Caenorhabditis elegans: one gene and its partners. The protein of the gene in region 1 purifies or fractionates together with the protein of each later gene. This does not show direct contact. Each region holds a gene or a part of one and is shown on either strand. Other genes may lie near its edges.

The links. The genes of interacting proteins can lie anywhere in the genome.
Region 2: the proteins of sur-6 (region 1) and let-92 purify together in Caenorhabditis elegans (affinity purification with western blotting; 3 studies listed by BioGRID, with this or other methods). This does not show direct contact.
Region 3: the proteins of sur-6 (region 1) and spd-5 purify together in Caenorhabditis elegans (affinity purification with western blotting, with the first as the bait; one study listed by BioGRID). This does not show direct contact.

The regions. Positions count from the first base shown.
Region 1 is NC_003279.8:9,752,239-9,758,414, forward strand, and holds sur-6 (Serine/threonine-protein phosphatase 2A regulatory subunit sur-6), read left to right. Parts: upstream 1-1,883; 5' UTR 1,884-1,999; coding exon 2,000-2,195; intron 2,196-2,533; coding exon 2,534-2,631; intron 2,632-2,685; coding exon 2,686-2,942; intron 2,943-2,991; coding exon 2,992-3,127; intron 3,128-3,374; coding exon 3,375-3,444; intron 3,445-3,495; coding exon 3,496-3,660; intron 3,661-3,708; coding exon 3,709-3,833; intron 3,834-3,882; coding exon 3,883-4,019; intron 4,020-4,065; coding exon 4,066-4,240; intron 4,241-4,609; coding exon 4,610-4,738; 3' UTR 4,739-5,650; downstream 5,651-6,176. Other genes in the region: F26E4.2 (Tnp_DDE_dom domain-containing protein), read right to left, coding at 5,651-5,790. UniProt on the Caenorhabditis elegans protein: Probable regulatory subunit of serine/threonine phosphatase let-92.
Region 2 is NC_003282.8:11,856,631-11,860,994, reverse strand, and holds let-92 (Serine/threonine-protein phosphatase 2A catalytic subunit), read right to left. Parts: upstream 2,554-4,364; 5' UTR 2,550-2,553; coding exon 2,421-2,549; intron 2,375-2,420; coding exon 2,165-2,374; intron 2,111-2,164; coding exon 2,048-2,110; intron 2,003-2,047; coding exon 1,814-2,002; intron 1,710-1,813; coding exon 1,536-1,709; intron 1,483-1,535; coding exon 1,291-1,482; 3' UTR 535-1,290; downstream 1-534. Other genes in the region: mob-1 (Mob1/phocein), read right to left, coding at 314-437.
Region 3 is NC_003279.8:5,170,751-5,178,341, forward strand, and holds spd-5 (Spindle-defective protein 5), read right to left. Parts: upstream 5,905-7,591; 5' UTR 5,848-5,904; intron 4,787-5,847; 5' UTR 4,772-4,786; coding exon 4,720-4,771; intron 4,669-4,719; coding exon 4,481-4,668; intron 4,434-4,480; coding exon 3,336-4,433; intron 3,289-3,335; coding exon 3,207-3,288; intron 3,162-3,206; coding exon 2,764-3,161; intron 2,716-2,763; coding exon 2,502-2,715; intron 2,459-2,501; coding exon 1,573-2,458; intron 1,524-1,572; coding exon 1,273-1,523; intron 1,223-1,272; coding exon 891-1,222; intron 840-890; coding exon 744-839; 3' UTR 552-743; downstream 1-551. Other genes in the region: Condensin-2 complex subunit hcp-6, read left to right, coding at 11-354, 399-551; npp-6 (NUP160 middle TPR domain-containing protein), read left to right, coding at 6,086-6,167, 6,222-6,526, 6,575-6,700, 6,751-7,394, 7,453-7,591. UniProt on the Caenorhabditis elegans protein: Plays a central role in centrosome maturation and mitotic spindle assembly during the first division of the zygote. Required for the centrosomal localization of air-1 and zyg-9. Probably not required in late embryogenesis and during larval development.

The sequences.
Region 1 (6,176 bases):
TGCGAACACTAATTGACCCTACTTTCACTGAACTAAGTTTTCTTTTACGAAACGGTCAAAATGTGCTTCCAAATAATGATAGTAACATTTTTCAAATAAAAAAAGAAAGAGTTGACTGTCCATCAATGCTATTAGCTTCGCACACAGTTTCTTTGTGTTCCATCGTCGAGCTGTCTGCGTAACTCGTTTAGGTGCACTGTCTCGTGTTTCATACTCTGCGTCATTCCGTTTTCGCCATTCGGTTCGTCGCCGGCGCCATAGCCAATCGATTATTTGGTTCTTCAAGGCAGTAGTCGCCCATCTCTTCATGTCTCCTCGCGCTCCCTTCGGAAGAACACTGATATCTCTTCTCGCTCCTTCTCGACGTCTTCTTTTCCTCCCCCACCATGTCTTCTGCTTCTCCACCGGCTGATGCTGTCGTCGCCTCATGCTGCACACGTCGTTGACACTCACAGGCCCGCACACACATGGAGGGAGTGCTCCATCTCTCGTTTTTGCCGCTTAGAAAATGGATGTATATTGTTTTTTAATCCATCATGATTCCTTCCGTCTCCGTTTTTCACTTTTTATTACATTTTGCCAATTGGATTTCTGTTGATCACAACAATCTTATTCAGCATTTTCCTTATTATTATTTTGAAATAATCAAGCTTTTAACTTTTGAAATCATATTTGCTTTCTGATCAATAATTTTTTGTTTCTATCGGAGGACAGCTGATAAGTAAGAGGTTCCTTCTCGTGTAGTCATGAGTAGTCATTGATTATTTCCGTCTTGTTGTTGCCCTCTGGCCAGCTGCGTGAAGTTCTTCTCTGCGTGATCGCATACTGTTTCAGTCATTTTCCTATGACTCATCTGATAATTATTGATCGATCGATTGGTTATCTACCATTTTGAAAAAAAAGTTGAAGTTATAATCTGATTTTGCGCCTCACTCTGCTCATTATTATTCGGCACACACGCACACATACACACTCATTTTTGTTTCCTTTTCTGTCTCTTTCTCTCTACGGTCTGTCTATTGCTCCGTTTTTGGTTAACTGGAATTCACACAGGTGAGGGAGCGGATTAGGAAGAAACTTGAATAGAAAAAAGAATTCAGTGAAAATGAGATGATTAGAGAACTACCTCGAGCCATGTATCTCTGCTTTCGTGCTTTATGAGCATTCAGTGTTGATAGTAATAACATAATGAGATGACTGAAGAGACGCAGATGTTGTGAAGAAGCTCGAATTAATCTCGCGCGTTTGCTCTGCGCCGATGGATTAAGAGTCCCTTGGTTGGCAGACGAGATCTCGGTAAGCATCATCTGCTTGTTTTCTCCAACCAAATCTTCGTGCTTTTGACCAACAATTTTTTTTTGACTAAAATGCGGCGATCAGAGAGATATTACTTATAAATTGATCTACGTAAATTAAGCATCCATTATCAACATTTTTGTGTTATTTCATTTTCTAATTTTGTTGCACTGAAATGCACTCAAAACCGGTCCCTTCCGTTTACAAATTGCAAATGCGCCCTTTCGCACCCTAGTTTTTTTGCCCGCGTTTCGTCATGTAAATTGCGATAGCATTGCGGCACCGCTGTGATTCTCGGTCATTTTTGTGATCGAATCAAACATACAAACTTTTAAACAACGTTCTTTGTCTCTAATTCTCTGACCTGAGTGTTCCATTCCTTTTGACTCTTTGAAAAAACTTTGCAGCTATTTCTCTTTCAAACAATTGTCTTAATTTCCTGTTTTACCATGTTGTGCTTTTTCTTCATCACTCGACAGATTTGTTGCCTAGCAACCTGCGGCATGAGGATTTATGCTTCTTTTTTTCCCGATGTCAATCTCTGAATTCCTAATCCAATTTTGTATATAATAATTTCCATTTTTCAGACGCATTAAAAATAGTCGTCATTCCCGTGTCTCAAACACTTTAATCTTCGTCACATCCAGTGATTAGGAAGGGAAGAGAACCAAAGAAACAACGAAAAAGAGGAAAAATTTGAATAATGGTGATGGAAGTGGACGAACCTGCAGTTGCGGCGACTACATCGCAAAATCAACCGCAGGAGCATGCGAATGACTTTGATATGGATACCTCCGAGGGACCAATTGAGAACGATGAAACATTTGAACCGGTAGATCAAATAAATTGGAAATTCAACCAGGTGAAAGGAAATATAGATGCCGATGTGCACACGGAAGGTAAAAAATTGTTACTTGAAATTTCCCTACGTTTTTGATACTATTTCTTAAAGACGCACGATTTATTCAGAAAAAAGTTGGTGGTTTAATTGCCTTGTTTTTTTTTAAAATTAAAATACTACTTAGTTCATTTTTTGCGAAATTTGTCATATTCTTTTCATTTTTCTGTGAAAATTGTTTTAAATCAGTTTTTAAAGTAAAACATTCGAAAAAAATTACCATAAACATTATTGCGCGCCGAGACCCATCTGAATTAATGCGTGCGACTTTAAGATGATATGTCAAAAATTAGTAAAAATTATGATGCCTAGAATACTGAAAAATCGAATAATTTTCAGCCGATGTGATCTCTTGTGTGGAATTTTCACACGATGGTGAATATTTGGCAACGGGAGACAAAGGAGGACGTGTTGTAATTTTCCAACGAGATCAGAGTGTAGGTTTTAGTTTTTAGAAAGACGAGAACTGTTTTAAATATTTAATTTTTCAGGGAAAGTATGTGAAAGGCGTTCGATCGAGGGAATATAATGTTTACTCGACATTTCAATCTCATGAACCTGAATTTGATTATTTGAAATCACTAGAAATTGACGAGAAAATTAATCAAATTCGGTGGCTTAAAAAGAAGAATGCAGCCAATTTCATTCTCTCGACCAACGACAAAACAATCAAGCTGTGGAAAATTAGTGAAAGAGAGCGTAAAATTGGAGACGATGCATGGAATCTGCCTAGAACAAACAGAATCAAGTATAACATTAATGATTAAATATTTTAAATATATAAATATAATTTTCAGCACTTCCTCCTTCCGAGGTCGCTTACAAATACCCTCGATCGTGCCAATGGAGTTGATAGTTGAAGCAAGTCCGAGACGAGTTTACGGAAATGCTCACACTTATCACGTCAACAGTATTTCAGTGAATTCTGATCAGGTATTTTAATAATTTTTTTTTGTGTTCAGCTTTTTTCAATCCAAAGTATACGATGAATCAAAATCTCAACAGTATAACCTTCTTCACATGTTCGGCGTATTTTTTTAACTATTCAATTTATTAGAAAAATAGTACCAGGTTGGCTGAATTCTTTTTTGTGAAAATTTAAAATGTTTGGTACTGCAAGGACCAAAATATCAATTATGTATAAGTGAACCGAAATTAAAAATTATATTCCGATTTTCAGGAAACATTCCTATCTGCCGACGATTTGCGAGTTAACCTTTGGAATCTGGAGATTACCAATGAGTCTTTCAGTGAGTTTTGAATACTTGTTTTCAAAAAATTTTAATATCGATTTCTTCCAGACATTGTCGACATCAAGCCTGCTAATATGGAAGAACTTACGGAAGTTATTACTGCCGCCGAATTCCATCCAACGCAGTGTAATTGGTTTGTATACTCTTCATCAAAAGGATCTATTCGATTGTGTGATATGAGAGATCGTGCTCTATGTGATGCGTATGCTAAAAGTGCGTTTGGTTCTGTGTATTGATTATATAAATAATATTAATTTGCAGTTTTCGAGGAACCAGAAGACCCTCAATCTCGATCTTTCTTCTCGGAGATTATTGCATCTGTTAGTGACGTCAAATTCTCACATAATGGAAGGTACTTGCTTACGAGGGACTATCTTACTGTCAAGGTAATTATTAATAATTAAAAAGAAAATTTGAACAACTTTTATATTTCAGGTGTGGGATTTGAACATGGAATCACAACCGGTAGAGACATATCCAGTGCACAATTATTTACGAACAAAACTCTGTGCACTCTACGAAAATGATTCAATTTTCGATAAATTCGAGTGCGATTGGAGTGGAGATGACAAGTAATTAATTGCAGTACTTTTTCATATTATAATTTTCTTTTTGCAGACATATTCTCACGGGTTCGTATCATAATCTGTTCCGTTCATATGCTCGTGGCAATAACCAAGATGCGAAAACTTGGGAAGCTCGGCCTCAAGAACCACATTCACAGCTCCGATCTCGATTTGTTGTACCATCAGCGAAACGGAAGAGAAACAATCTGTCATCAAGCGGTGAAACGGTAAGATTTCAATTAAATTTAAAAAAACGTCTTCATGTTTAAATGGGTCTCTGCGCGCAAAAAAAGTTTATGGTAGTTTTTATTTTTATTTTATGCGACTGCTTCTCGTTTATTTTTTATTTTTCAATATAATTACTTCGTATTTAGCGACATTTTTTCGCTAAAAATACACTTTAAACGACGTAATTTTATTGAAAATGTAAAATAAACGAGGAATCAGCCGCATAAAATAAAAGCACAACCGTAAATTTTCTTGATCGCCAAGACTCATCTGAATACATCCGTGCACCTTTAAGAATGCATGTTAAACTCTCGTGAAAATATGATAAACATATCTTACTTCAAAATCAACAAAAACCCAATTTACAGACCGAAGAGGATCTTTCATCTGATCAACTTCAATTTGATCGTAAAATATTGCACACAGCATGGCATCCAAAGGATAACATCATTGCTCTTGCTGCCACTAACAATCTCTACATCTTCTCAGATGTTTAAATTATTGTTTTCGTAAACTTGTTGGATTTCGTCCTCCCCCAATCATCATTTTCCCTTTTTCTCAATTTATCCTCAAATATCACATTCATATAACTCTAAATTTTTTTTTCATATTTTCCCCATATTTTTGTGAGTCAATTCTTTCTCAAATCCCGTCCCTTCTTTCCCGTTTTCGTAGTCCTCATGTCGACTTATAGACATTTAATCGCGTATTCAATGTTACTCGCTTTCTTTCTTTCAAATCCTTCGTCATCGTAAATTTTTGAAGTAAAACAGGAATAAGCTCTTAGTTGGTTTCTATTTTTCAACTGTTAAAGTTGTCTTTTGCTTCCAATTTGAGATAGAGTTGTACTTTATTATTCTTATAGCTTCTTTTTCTTTACTCTCTCCCTCTCTCTATCCTCTCATATCATTCTTGAATTACGTGGCCCGTTTTCTATACTTTTCCCTCACTCTTCAACTCCAGTGTTCTCTTTCTTGTCTCTTCCACCACCACTTTTAAAAAGATAACTGTAGATCCTTAACCCCGAATCATTCGGGTCGTGTCTCTCCCACTTTTAGGATGATTTCTCCTGTTAGATTCACAATGTGTTTCACGACTTAATCCTCTTGTTTGAAAGCGTGTGAAGGTATTATTCTCACCTTGTTAGCTCCATTCTGTAATTTTGAAAACTATAAAAATCGCCCAAAAAATTTTTGAAATTTTTCCGACTTTAGTTATTTTCTCTCCACTTTCTCTGTTCGTTTGTCTGTCACAAAATTACAAACTTTCAAATCAAGAATCTTGACATAAATTTTTGTATTACTTCCCTCATATTTCTTCATCATTAAATCCCCGTGGGTGTGTCTCATCATTAAGTCTTCCTTTTCCCATAAAATTGTAAGCAATATTTATTTTCCAATCATAAAAACTCATTTATTGAATGGAAATAGTCGACAAATGTACAAAAACAATAATAATAGTATCACATTTGTGGCGATGAGGATTTCAGTTCCATGGCGACGATATGTTTGACGTACTAGTACTTGTGCATCATATGTGACTTTGGAGACTGAAATAAATTAGAAAAATATATTATTGGTGTCTCGACACGACAAATTTATAAATGCGAAAATGTGCGCGCCTTTAAAGATTACTGTAATTTCAAACTATTGCTGCTGCTGAATTTTCACCGAATTGCATAGTTAGAAAAATGGAATATAACAATAAAAGCATAATTTTGAACAAATAATTAGAAAAAATTTAAAAAAAAACTCGATGAAAATTCCGAAGCAATCATAGTTTGAAATTACAGTACTCTTTAAAGGCGCACAACATTTCGCATTTAACTAAAATTTGTCGTGTCGAGGCCGCGTACCGTATTTTTGACGCGGATGTATAAGAGAATAATTAATTGAAAAAAATCGATTATATTACGTTGGATTTTGTTTTGAAAAA
Region 2 (4,364 bases), on another chromosome or scaffold:
TGGAATTTTTCAAAAATAAAATTAAAAAAGAAAACTTATAGAAACTGTATGTTTCCGCTTTTTTAAAGGGAGAACCAAAATTGAGAAATAGTCTCGCCGCGCGTCAGTGTTTATTTGTTTTCGTGTACGCGCCTTTAAGATTACTGTAGGAAATTTATCCAATTTTTTGTATTTTTTGAGAAAATTGGATCAACTCGAAAAAAATCACAATTAGCAGTTTTTGTTTTATTATAAATTATTTTTTGTTTTATTACAAATTATTATTACCAAGCTGTGCAAAAAAATGTCAAAGTTTTTTTTAGCAAAAACTTACTATTTACGGCGAGCCATTCATTTTTATCTTCCCCTGGTGGAAGTTTCAGAGCGTCACGAAGATTTCCACTTCCTAACGTTGAAACTGCCATTGGATTGCACCATGATGAACTTGGTTCACTCATTTTCTGGAACCAAAATAATTCGATTTAAAGTTTTTTCTTTCACCAAGACAAGTATTGTTTTATGCTTTCTACATTGCAATCGAAAATTCAAAACTTTGATGTGGACACAGTTTATTGATCATTGATGATAAACAAAATGTTGATGGGGCAAAAATAATATTATAATTAAACAAAATGGGGGAATAAAATAGTGGAAAAGGGAGAGATGTTGTCCATTCGCATTTTGTGATAATAATCATAAGAAACAAGGAAGACGGGAAGTGGTGAAAAGGATGGGATGGAGGGGAAAATAGTGTAAGAATATGGAAGGAAAAGAAAAAGAGTAAAGAAATGTTGGAAGCGAACGCCGTACAGCGCGTGCGCGGAGAAGATCGCAACTTTTCTCACACGGGGATGACTGAAAAGAATATTGATTGCTTCATTGAGTGAAGGAAGAGAACCGAGTGCTAAGGTTGACACGAGATGTCGGAGATATTTTTTCAGTAATGGCTAATGATTCCGCCAAACTCTTCCCACCACATTAATTTACATGAACAATGAAATTTTCATCCCTATCATCGCATCATTTGAGAAGAGAAGCACGGTTTGATCGCCTAAATTTTGGTAGAGGACAAGAGAATGGAACAAAAAAGATAGATGAAGAACACAACAATCATTTCGAGCAACTTCAGAAGAGATGGGATTGTCAAATAGGATGGTGTTGGGCAACGATACAAAAACAACGATATTCTATATAATGACTGAAACGATGAAAAAGAGGAAAAGTGAGAGAAAGTATTGAAATTAATTGGGTAAGGGGGATAATACGGAAAAAAAAGAAAATGAAAACGGCGATTTGAACGGAGGTATCTATCTACAGGAAGTAGTCAGGCGTTCTGCGAGTAACATGTGGTTCTCCTCTTCGAGGGGCAGGGTCGAATTGCAAGAACGAATATTTGAGATCGTCGTCCAGCTCCACCATCGCTGCCTGATTTCCACAACGATAGCAGTAGTTTGGTGCTGAGAACACTGTTACCACGTTACGATCGTGACTCCAGTTGTATCCCTAAACATATTTATATCATTGCAAAATTATATCGATTTGAAATAATTTCTCACCTCCATGACAAGTTGATGGGCCCGAGAAATTAGAGTAAGTCCATTGGAATGGTTGAACGTCTCCGAGATATCCTGACCGAATGTGTATCCTGCTCCACGTGGAGAGATTCCCCAGCCACCTCTGTCATCTGGATCAGACCAGAGAAGATCGCACATTGGTCCTTCGTGTGGAACCTTTAAAAATATATGATTTTCGGTGATGAAAATGTTAGAACTTTTCTATTATTGAAATATTTCAGGCTAGTAACTATTAAAGGTAGATTTCCACAATAACTTACCTCTTGAATGCGGTCAAGAGCTCTGATGTGATCAAGAGTATCAATAGACGGTGAAAGACCTCCGTGAAGGCAGAAGATTTGACCATCAACAAGAGCGGTAAGTGGGAAACAGTCGAAGAGATCAGTGAAGTACTTCCACACATTCGAGTTTCCATATTTCCTCAAACACTCGTCATAGAACCCGTAGACCTAACAAGAAAATAATAATTTTTGAAATAAATTGATTTTAATTACCTGAGTGATTTGTCGCGACTCGTGATTTCCGCGGAGCAGTGTTACTCGATCCTTGTATCGAATCTGAATTTTTAAAGATGTTATAATAATTTCCATACTATATTGTGATAACTGTACCTTCAAACAGACAAGCAGACTAACTGTTTCGACGGAATAATACCCCCGGTCGACGTAGTCTCCCATGAAAAGGTAATTCGTGTCAGGACTCTTTCCACCCATTTTGAACAGCTCCATCAGATCGTGGAATTGACCGTGAACGTCACCACACACTGTCACAGGGCACCGGACTTCTTGCACATTCGGCTCTTTTTCCAAGATCTCTTTCGCCTTAAAAAAATTAATTTTTGACAATCACAAAACTGTATCAACAAACCTTTTCGCATAACGTTTTGACTTGATTCTCCGATAGTGGTTTACATTCGTATAACTGCTCAATCCACTGATCTACATCGACGATTAGTGCTTTATCAAGCGGATCCGCAGATGGTGGGGCAGCAGCCATACTACTGAAAACTTATTTGTTGGTCAAGAAATTAGAAGTATAAAAAAGTTTGAATGATAAGAACGCATAGAGAAAGAAGAAAGACAACGTGGGCAGCTATAGCAACGGAGCACGAGTCGGAGAAAGCGTGAAGAGCAGAAACTCACGCTGTTGCCTCACAGTCAATACTTTTCAGCGGATTCTTCTTTCCGTATAAACTGATAGGATTGCAAGACAAAAGGGATTAAGTGCCCCTTGCTCCAACAGCATCTTATAACGAAAAAGAAAACGTCACAATTGGAGGAGAGACAGTTAATGAAATGATGTAAAGCACAAGTTTTAAAAAAGACGGAAAATCAATCGTGAACAGGTTAAGAAAAGAAAACAAGAACATAGAAATAAAATGTGTAGTTTTTATGGATTATTTTTCAATGTTACTAAATGCCAGACCGGATTAGTTACTAGTGTCAAAAAGTGTCCATTCTCAATTTTAGACGAAGAAGTGAAAGATGAACAACAATCACGCGCTGAAAAATATTCATAGGAAAAAGAGGAAATCGATAACTCGCTGTTTGCGTTTCTACCTCCCACCAAACCATACGGAATTTCATTCCGTTCCGATAAGGCAAAGAACAAATGTTGTTAATTATGTTTCACAATAGGGGTCAATCTATGTTCTAACGAGAATTAAAATATTTTAATTGTTAGGCAAACGTTGATACGGTAAAAAACCTAATTATGTAACTGAAACTCTTCAAATGAAAAAAAAAATCATAAAACTGTGTTTTTTTTGCCTTATTTTCGGTGAATCATAATCAATATTCAATGGGCAAAAGCCAATTGTAATGGGAACACGTGAGAACGGAATAAATGAATTTAACATTAGTGGAAGACATCAAAATGATAGAGAACGCGGGATGATCGAGTACGACAAAATTGTTGTTTTGTGAGGAGAGCGAGGCGGAGAAAGCAGGGCTGCAGAGAGATGCGGGGCCCGCCAATTGGGCAGTGACGGAGGATCAGACGACAGATAGCGAAGGAGCAGCGGCACTCCTGTGCTATAACCAGCCGAGGAACCAATCGCATTGCGAAAGTGACGGAGAAAGAGATGAAAAAGAAAAGATATAAGGCAGAGGAAAGAGCGACCGCATCGCAAGGGCTCGCGTCGCGGTTCACTGCGCTCTACTGAACACCCTCACTGTCTGTTGTTAACAAGACGGAGAGAAGTGAAGAAGTCCTCTTCCTGAACCGATGTTTTCGTTTATTGGCGTTATCGCTGAAGGCGACAACGACGACAGCAGAGGCGTTGTGTGCAGAAAGGAGGTGTGAAAAGGCGAGGATTTAGAGCTCTGGTGACGTGCTAGGGACGGCCAAGTTATGATAGAGGGGCGTACTGAAAAAAATGTTCGAGGTAGAATATTTCTAGAAAAATACATTTCATAACCCAGCAGAATCATGATGACTCATTTATGCGAAATTTCAGAAAAAACGGTATGTTTTAGAAGATGAAACTATCGATTGGCAACTAACGAAGGTTAATGATGTCCGATTTTTTAAATTATTATGTAACAAAATCATTGTTGAAAAAGACCGAAAACTTCAGACAGAAAAAAAAACTGGTGAGCTAATTATAATTCAAATTAAAAGTAGGAATACGATCTAGCGGAATGACAATAGTTTGTTACTAACGGCTCCAGTAACTGAATCTAGTAAACAATATGATTGAAACCGGAGATTTTCAGCATCAGGTGTTAAAGAATGACATCAAAAACATGCTAGATGATGAATTCAAGAAGGCACTTACATTTTGACGAAACTTTTTGTACATTTTTGAGC
Region 3 (7,591 bases), 4.6 Mb from region 1:
TTTCTTGAAGAATCCCCGGAAAAGGAAGTCAATATTTCGGCCAACGTCACTTTGCGTCGTAGTCGTCGGGGTCAGTCAACAGAGCCACCAGTCGTGAAAGAGAATTCTAATCGAAAACGGAAATCTGTTGACGAGGAAGAGGAAAATGTGCCAACAAGTTCATCTGGTAACACTGAAAATGATCCACTGTCACGCGGAGTGACTCCGTTGATTTTCGATGAAAGTAAGCTTGGTGCAGGACGTCATTGTTCAACTCCGATTCGATCACGAGAAGACGCAGATCCAAGCGATGTCACATTCTCCCTTAATTTGTCGGCTATTACCGAAAAGGAAGACTTGAAAAACAGAAGTAAGGTATTCACAATTTCTTGAATTTACAAAACGCCTTAATTTTACAGAAAGTCAAGCTTATCACCTTCACAATATCTTCGAAGAGGATGAAGAGGAAAGCTGATCAATGTCATTGTATAAATCTTCCATCGAAATTTGTCTTATTTATCTCAACTGTTTGTATTATTGTAAGATTGTCCGCTGTTTTTTCATTAAATTAATCTGTTCCTTTTATTATCTGTAATGGGATTGCAGTCAACTACCAGAAAAGAAGCATTTAATTCACAAGTACATTGATAGATGCATTAGGTGTATCTTTAGGCTGGGAAAACAATACAATCGTTACAAGTTAATCTTGTCGAGATGATAGTGTTGATAAAACTGGTTCCATTTTAATACATTAACAGATCAGTTCACTTTTTGCGAATTTCCTTCACAGCTCCTCCCATATCAGTTGCGATTTTGCCAATTTCCGTTTTGATTCTGTCTTGAAATTCGACACCAAGTGTCTGAAAATGATATTTTTCAAAATAGATTTCAATAGAAAAAGAATTTCATACCGGGATGGCGGATTTTGTCAGTTTCAGTTCCTTTTTGTACTTCTTGATTTGCTCCTCAAGCATCAAGTTATCCTGATGCAATTGTCCGAGATCTGTGATCAGTTGATCGACGGTCTCGTTCTTCCAATTGGACATATCGATTCCTTTGAATAGAATGAGCTTCTGATGGAGGAAATCGCGAAGAACTCTGGATTCATTGATGACGTTGCCAATCGTCTCCTTAAGCTCTGGACCCATTCCTGACATATTGTGAGTCTTCTTGAGTTTCTGAACAATTGCGTCGACAGCCATAGTTGATTCGTGGAGCAATTGTCGAGTAGGGCTCGTGTAATCTGGAGAATTGGTGAAAATTCAACTTCTGATGTGCATAAGTATGACTTACGAGGTTGAGCACACTTTTGATTCGATGTTTTAGTAGGCATGCCACTGACCGATGTTCCAACTGGTGGGACATTCTCGTTATTAGAGCTCATCATTTTCAGCTCATGTTCGAGAGCATCTTTCTCTAATTGAAGCTTTTCAATTTTTTCATTGACGTCTCTCATAACTTTCGCGTATTCATGCTGTTGCTCTCGTTCCCTGGAAAGACGACGACAGAGTTCATCGCAAACGAGTTGAATCGATGAGATGTTGCTGAAAATGTTCTCAAATAAAAAAAAACAAGCACGACGTTTGATAATACCTTGGGATAATCTTGGCTTTCAAAGTCTTCTTGGTTAGCTCAGATATCTCCTTACTGATACGTTCCAATCCTACAATAGCGGCATTCTCAAAATCTTCGCGATACTTCGCCAACTCAATTTCCTTCTTTCTTTCTGTCATCTTCGTAGAACAATAGTCGGCCGCAATTTCTGAAGTCGACAACTTCTCCATCTCAGTCTCCAAATGAACAATTCTTTCAAGCATTTCAGATTTCTCGGATGAAGCATGTTCAACTTTATTTTCCGCCTCTTTTGTTCTCATTCTCCACCCATTCAATTCTTCACTCAACTCATCTGCTAGATTTTGGGATTTTTTTTCTTCCTCCAGCGCGGTAGATAACTCGCTTTTCAAGAATTCATCGCTCTTCTTTGCTTCATTCAATCGCATCCCCATATCAGTAATGGTTTTCTTGAGCTCATTTTCCTCATGTTTTAGAGAACTGATGAGCTGACGAGCCTCTTCCAATGCATTTTCAGCTTTGACACGAGTCTCCTGTTCACCATCCACACGAGCCAACGCTTCATTGAGCTCGCATCGCACTTCTCCAAGCTTAGAATTAACTTGATGGAGATTGGCTTCGAGTTCAGCAAATTGACTTTTCAATGTAGAATTTTCCTCTTTAGCCTTTTGTAGCGTTGCTTCAGATACTTCGAGATCTTCAAACATGCGATTGGTGTTGATCTGCACATCCGACAATCTTCCAGACGAACCGTTCAATGGAGATCTCATATCTCGTGTACGAGCCATCTCCAATTCATTTTTCAACTCCGATACCTCATTCTGAAGCTTTTCCACTATGTCTGAATTGCTTGTAAACTTGAAGAGTGGACTATACGAGGCATTGAGAAGAGAAGATGAGGCGACATCTGGAAAATATTGATTTATGAGCGTCTCTAAAATTTATATTACCTTCAGCATCGGGTGCAATAGTGAATCTTCTCGAAGCTTCCGCAGCCTGACTAACTATCGACTTCTCGAGAATTGAGAAATTGAGTGACATATTATGAAGATCCTTCTCCGCTGCTTCCAAGATGGCAGATACATTGAGCTTGTCGTTAATACTTGTTTCAAATGCGAGCTTCATTTTCTTGATCTTATCCGCATTTGGATCACTGGATCCCATCTACAAAAAACTCAGATTTACAGATTCACAACTTGACAGTTTTCATACCCTTTCAAGAATCTCTTCAAAAAGAGCAGCAGAAGATTTAAGTCTTTCGAAAAGTCGAGCAAGAGCCTCTCTGATCTGGGACATTTTCTCTTGCATTTGCTCAACATTTACAGCTACATCATGCTGGCCTTCAAGGAACATTGCAGAAGAATCCAGAATTTGTTGCATATCGTGCAGAATTGGAATGTGACTTTGTGACACGTGAGGAGAAGCAGTCTTCGTAGAAAACGAATTATTCTGTATTTGTTCGCCAGCTCCCTCGGATTGATGGCTCTTCAGGTGAAGATGAAGTGATTTTGGTTTCTGCATTACAATCGGAGAATTCTTGAAAGACTTCTGACTGAGGAACGATTGAGTTGCATCTCTACCAGGTGGTGGCATTGACGAATTGAAGGAACCTAACAATAATCAATTTCAAAAAATCTAGGAATCAATTTTACTACCTTCAAGGGTGTCATTATGGTTGTTCTGCAGGCTGTCTTTCACTGACTCGAAATCTTCCCACATGGAGGCAAATTGTTGCTGCTAAATATTCAAGACTTTATTTTAAATAATAATTTTCATACACTTACATTTCGAACAGCAGATGATGTATCCATGAGCGGCAATTTGCTTTCTTCAAGATCATCTAATTGACTTTCTCTGGGAAGAATGCGCATCGATGTTCCGCCAGTCTCATTTCCTTGTCCAATGCTATCGACATCATTAGTCGCAATACCAGCCATCAGTCGACTTTGTCCCAGTGAAATGCTAAGATTTCCATCGCCTCCGGTCAATTGATCACAACGAATGCGGAGTTCTCGATTTTCAGCTCTCAACACATTCAATTCACCGTTCACCTTTCCTATTTGGATTTTAAGCTCGTCGGATGTCTGACCACCAAGCAACATGGAAGAAGAATCAAATGTCGAATTTTTAACCATGGTTCGAATCTCGTGCTCAAGCTTGCTACACTTGTTCATGTATTCAACGAGTGCCTGACGAGCCTTATCATTTTCCTTCTTCGCATCAGCTAACTTCGTTTCAAGATCATCAATGTAATTGAGCTGGTCTCGCGTCTGTGATTCACGACCGTTCCCGATCATGAACGTTGAATTTGGAACCATAGCGTTTCCAGCAGCTCCGAGGATTCCTTGTCCAGTGGCCGCTTCAAGCTGAGCGCGAACATTTTCTGAATCGGCAAGCCTTGCAGATTGGTCGTCAAGTTCTTGACGGAGCTGCTGAATGTGATCTTCCAGCTCAGCTACCTTGTCGATCTCAGAGAGGAGCTTTGCCTCCAGGTCGTTGATCTTTCTTTCTTCATAACCAGAGGTTAATGTGAAATCTGGATCGTTTTTCTTCAGAATGTCATCAAGAGTTCCACGAAAAGATCCGACAGTTGTGTTGTTTGCATCAGTAGCGGACAATTCCAGTTCCTTGATTCTTTCCTCCATTGCATGCTTTTGTGCCTCAAATTCTTTCATCTGTCTGGCAAAATTGTCTTCGGAAGTTTCAATTCTCGATTGCATTGCTAGCAAATCCTCTTCCATCAGTTTGTATTGCTCCATTTTCTCTTGAACATTTTCTTGGCCTAATTTGAGATCGACATAATCGTCCATAACTTCCTTAACTCTCTTCTGCGACGCTTCCTTTGCCTCACTATACCGGCGCTGATACATTTGCAGTTCTCCCTACAAACTCAAATCATTTCTAAATAAGCATATGATAAATTACTTACTCTCAGGATAGTTATTTTTGTTTTAAGCGCTTTGTTTTCTTCCCATGTTTGGATGATGGGGATGCTACGAACATCAGCAGACGAAAATGCTCCTGACAATACTTGCTGTTGAGTGGCACTGGTCGAAGACGTTCTTTTGTCTCCTTCAACATTCAGAACTGGTTGCGACATAGATCTTCGTGGCTGGCCTAAAAAACCTTTGCATTTATGCAGTTATTGATTTTAAATGTTATAATTACCCTCGACATGCTCGAGATTGGAGTCCTCGTTGAGCACAGAATTATCCTCCATTTAACGCGAAGTTTTCTGAAACAAGAAACGGGTTCGAAAACAAAATTGAGCGTTTTTTTGGGATTAAGAGTTTTGAGTCAAAATGAACAGGAGGTTGCAAAATTTGAAGCTTCAGCACCGTTCTTTGGGCGTGCATAATCATGAAAAACAAGTGCGGACCAACTTTTGTTACTATGGAAACGTAAGAATTTCGCGGACGCGGAGAAAATTCAAAATTCACGTTTAGGCGCGCGTTTTTCTGAGGCCCCACGAAAAGGGGAGCAGAACGAAAAGGGGATCTGCAAAAAGGGGAGATACGAAAAGGGGAGCAACGAAAAGGGGAGCTGGCACTGTGCCAAACGCACAAAACGCAATTTTTCTCACGCAACGCACGTTGATTTTTGAAATTTTCTTCTAGAAGATACGCTTAACAACACGCGACGCGTAACATCGGAGCCGATGCACCATGTTTCGGATCGGTATAGGTTCAAAAGTGGTAGAATTATATAATTTATTACTGATAAATCCGTTAAATGATAAAAATGAGAAAGCTCATATATTTAACATGCGACCTGCCGGTCCAAGAGTAAAACGAAGAAGTGACGATTTCCTTGCGTGGTGTCGACGTGTTGGGGTTTGATGTGCATGTGTGGTAGTACTGTAACACGCGTGACGTGTGTGTCTTTTGGCGCGGCTTTCAAACAGGAGTTTCCCGGCTTTGTCATTGTTGATGACTCAGTATTCTGCGTATTCGCGACAATCGTTGTATCGTTTTCTTCGAGAAAAATAGCGTTTGGCACAGTGCCAGATCCCCTTTTCGTTGCTCCCCTTTTCGTATCTCCCCTTTTCGTATCTCCCCTTTTCGCAGATCCCCTTTTTGCAGATCCCCTTTTCGTGGGGCCTCGTTTTTCTTGACAGAGAAAAAGTGTGCGCATGTTGCGAAATACCATGCGGCGGTATTGCTCATGCAGCCACGCCCCTTATTTTTGAATTCGAATGGAGCTCCATATGGAGGCGTTTTCGGCTCAATTCATCATTGTTTTGTAAAATTTTACATCGCAAAGTGTCAAAATATGAAGCTTATTGTAAAAACTCACAAATTTCTAACAAGTTTTTCTTTGAATCCAATGAGAACCTTCTCGATAAGTGATTAAAATTTAAAGTGAATTGTTTTCTTCCATTTTTTCACGTATAAAAAAACGTATAAAAAACAAGTAAAACAAGTTCACGCCAATGAAAAATTGTTTTTAACGATATTTAAATATTTTTGAACGTGTTTATTTCATCTCCATATTTCTCTTTTGCTTTAACATCGTGTTTTATGCTTAATTTCAGATGGAGCTGGTTTACGGGTCGGAAATCAGCTTCACGGATGGATTTGCTATAAAGCCGGCTAGAACTTTTGTGGTAAACACCAGTAAGTTTCAATTTCATTAAATAATTGTTTCTACAACAAATTTCACTTTTTTAGATGCGCCGCTTCATTCGAATGGATTTGATGTGCAACCGTCCGCAGGAGTTGCAACATTTCCGCACTGCTCAAATTACGGCGATCGGATTTTCCTGTGGCGTGCGATTGGCCAGAAACTGTTCATTGAGGAGCGTTCTTTGCTCTACTCAATCACGGATGGATCGTTGTGCATTGACTTCACACGCACACCTATTATTCCTGGAACATCGATAACAATTTTCGAGGAAGGGGTTTTATGTATTGTCGTTCCCACAGCTTCTGCAATTCATCGTTTCTACGCGAGACTCCACTCCAAAGGCCATGATGTTTGTTCTCAAAAATTTCCATAATCGAATGAGAATAATTATTTTCAGACGTTCTCAATTCTTGCAAGAATTAAAGAAGATGACGATTTCCGCCGATTCAGAACATCTCACTCCCTTTCAACACCAGGGCGCCCGATTCGTGCAAGTGTTACACATCATCCTTCAAGAAATACGGTATAAAAATGGAAATTGATTACAACCTATATTTCGAATTTTGAATTCAGATTTCTTACTGTACCGCTGAAGGGCAGTTGGTCATTGTCACATTGGGATCATACACGGAATCCAGTGATAAACACGAAGAATTCACAATGGGAGAAGTTGGTCTTCTGGGAAAACTTCTAGGTGGCACTGATAAACGAGTCAGTGATGCATGTGTTATGAAGAATCTTCGCCCGACTTCTGGAGTCACGAGAGAGCGAAAAATTTCAGTCCAATCCGATATTGTGTTCGCTGTTACCAGAGACGGATGGGTGCAAGCATGGAATGTTGAGACGAAAAAACAATTGCCAAGCACTATTGACTTGAATAACTACTTTGCTTCAGACGGAAAATCTTTGAATCGAGATCTAGAATCTGCAGACTTCGAGGAAGAAAAGTCTCCAATGGAACCAACTGAAACTGTATATTCTATCAGAGCTTATTCATTCGATGTGGATATTCTTCTGATTGTTGGATGTGATTTGGCAGTTTCGGGAAAAAGCGTCGGGATGAGAGTTCATATTCTCAAAGTTTCAAATGATCAAATTCAACATCTACAAATGTTCGAAACATCGATGTCCGTTGATGAACGACTTGTTGATCTCGAGCTTATTCAAAACTATTTCCCATCAAAGGAATCGGAAAGTCTTGATGAGACACAAGATGGGTAAGAATCGTTGTTATAAAATGGGTTTTTTTCTTGTCTAAATATAAAATTGTTTCAGGGAATTGTATAATCCTCTCACAGCTGCACTATTTTCACTTTCTGCTCTTTTCAAAAGTTCATCTGCAAAGAAAACCTATTCGATGAAACGGATCTCATTTGCTATCCAATGGAAAAAGGGACGAGTTTTCACAGATTTC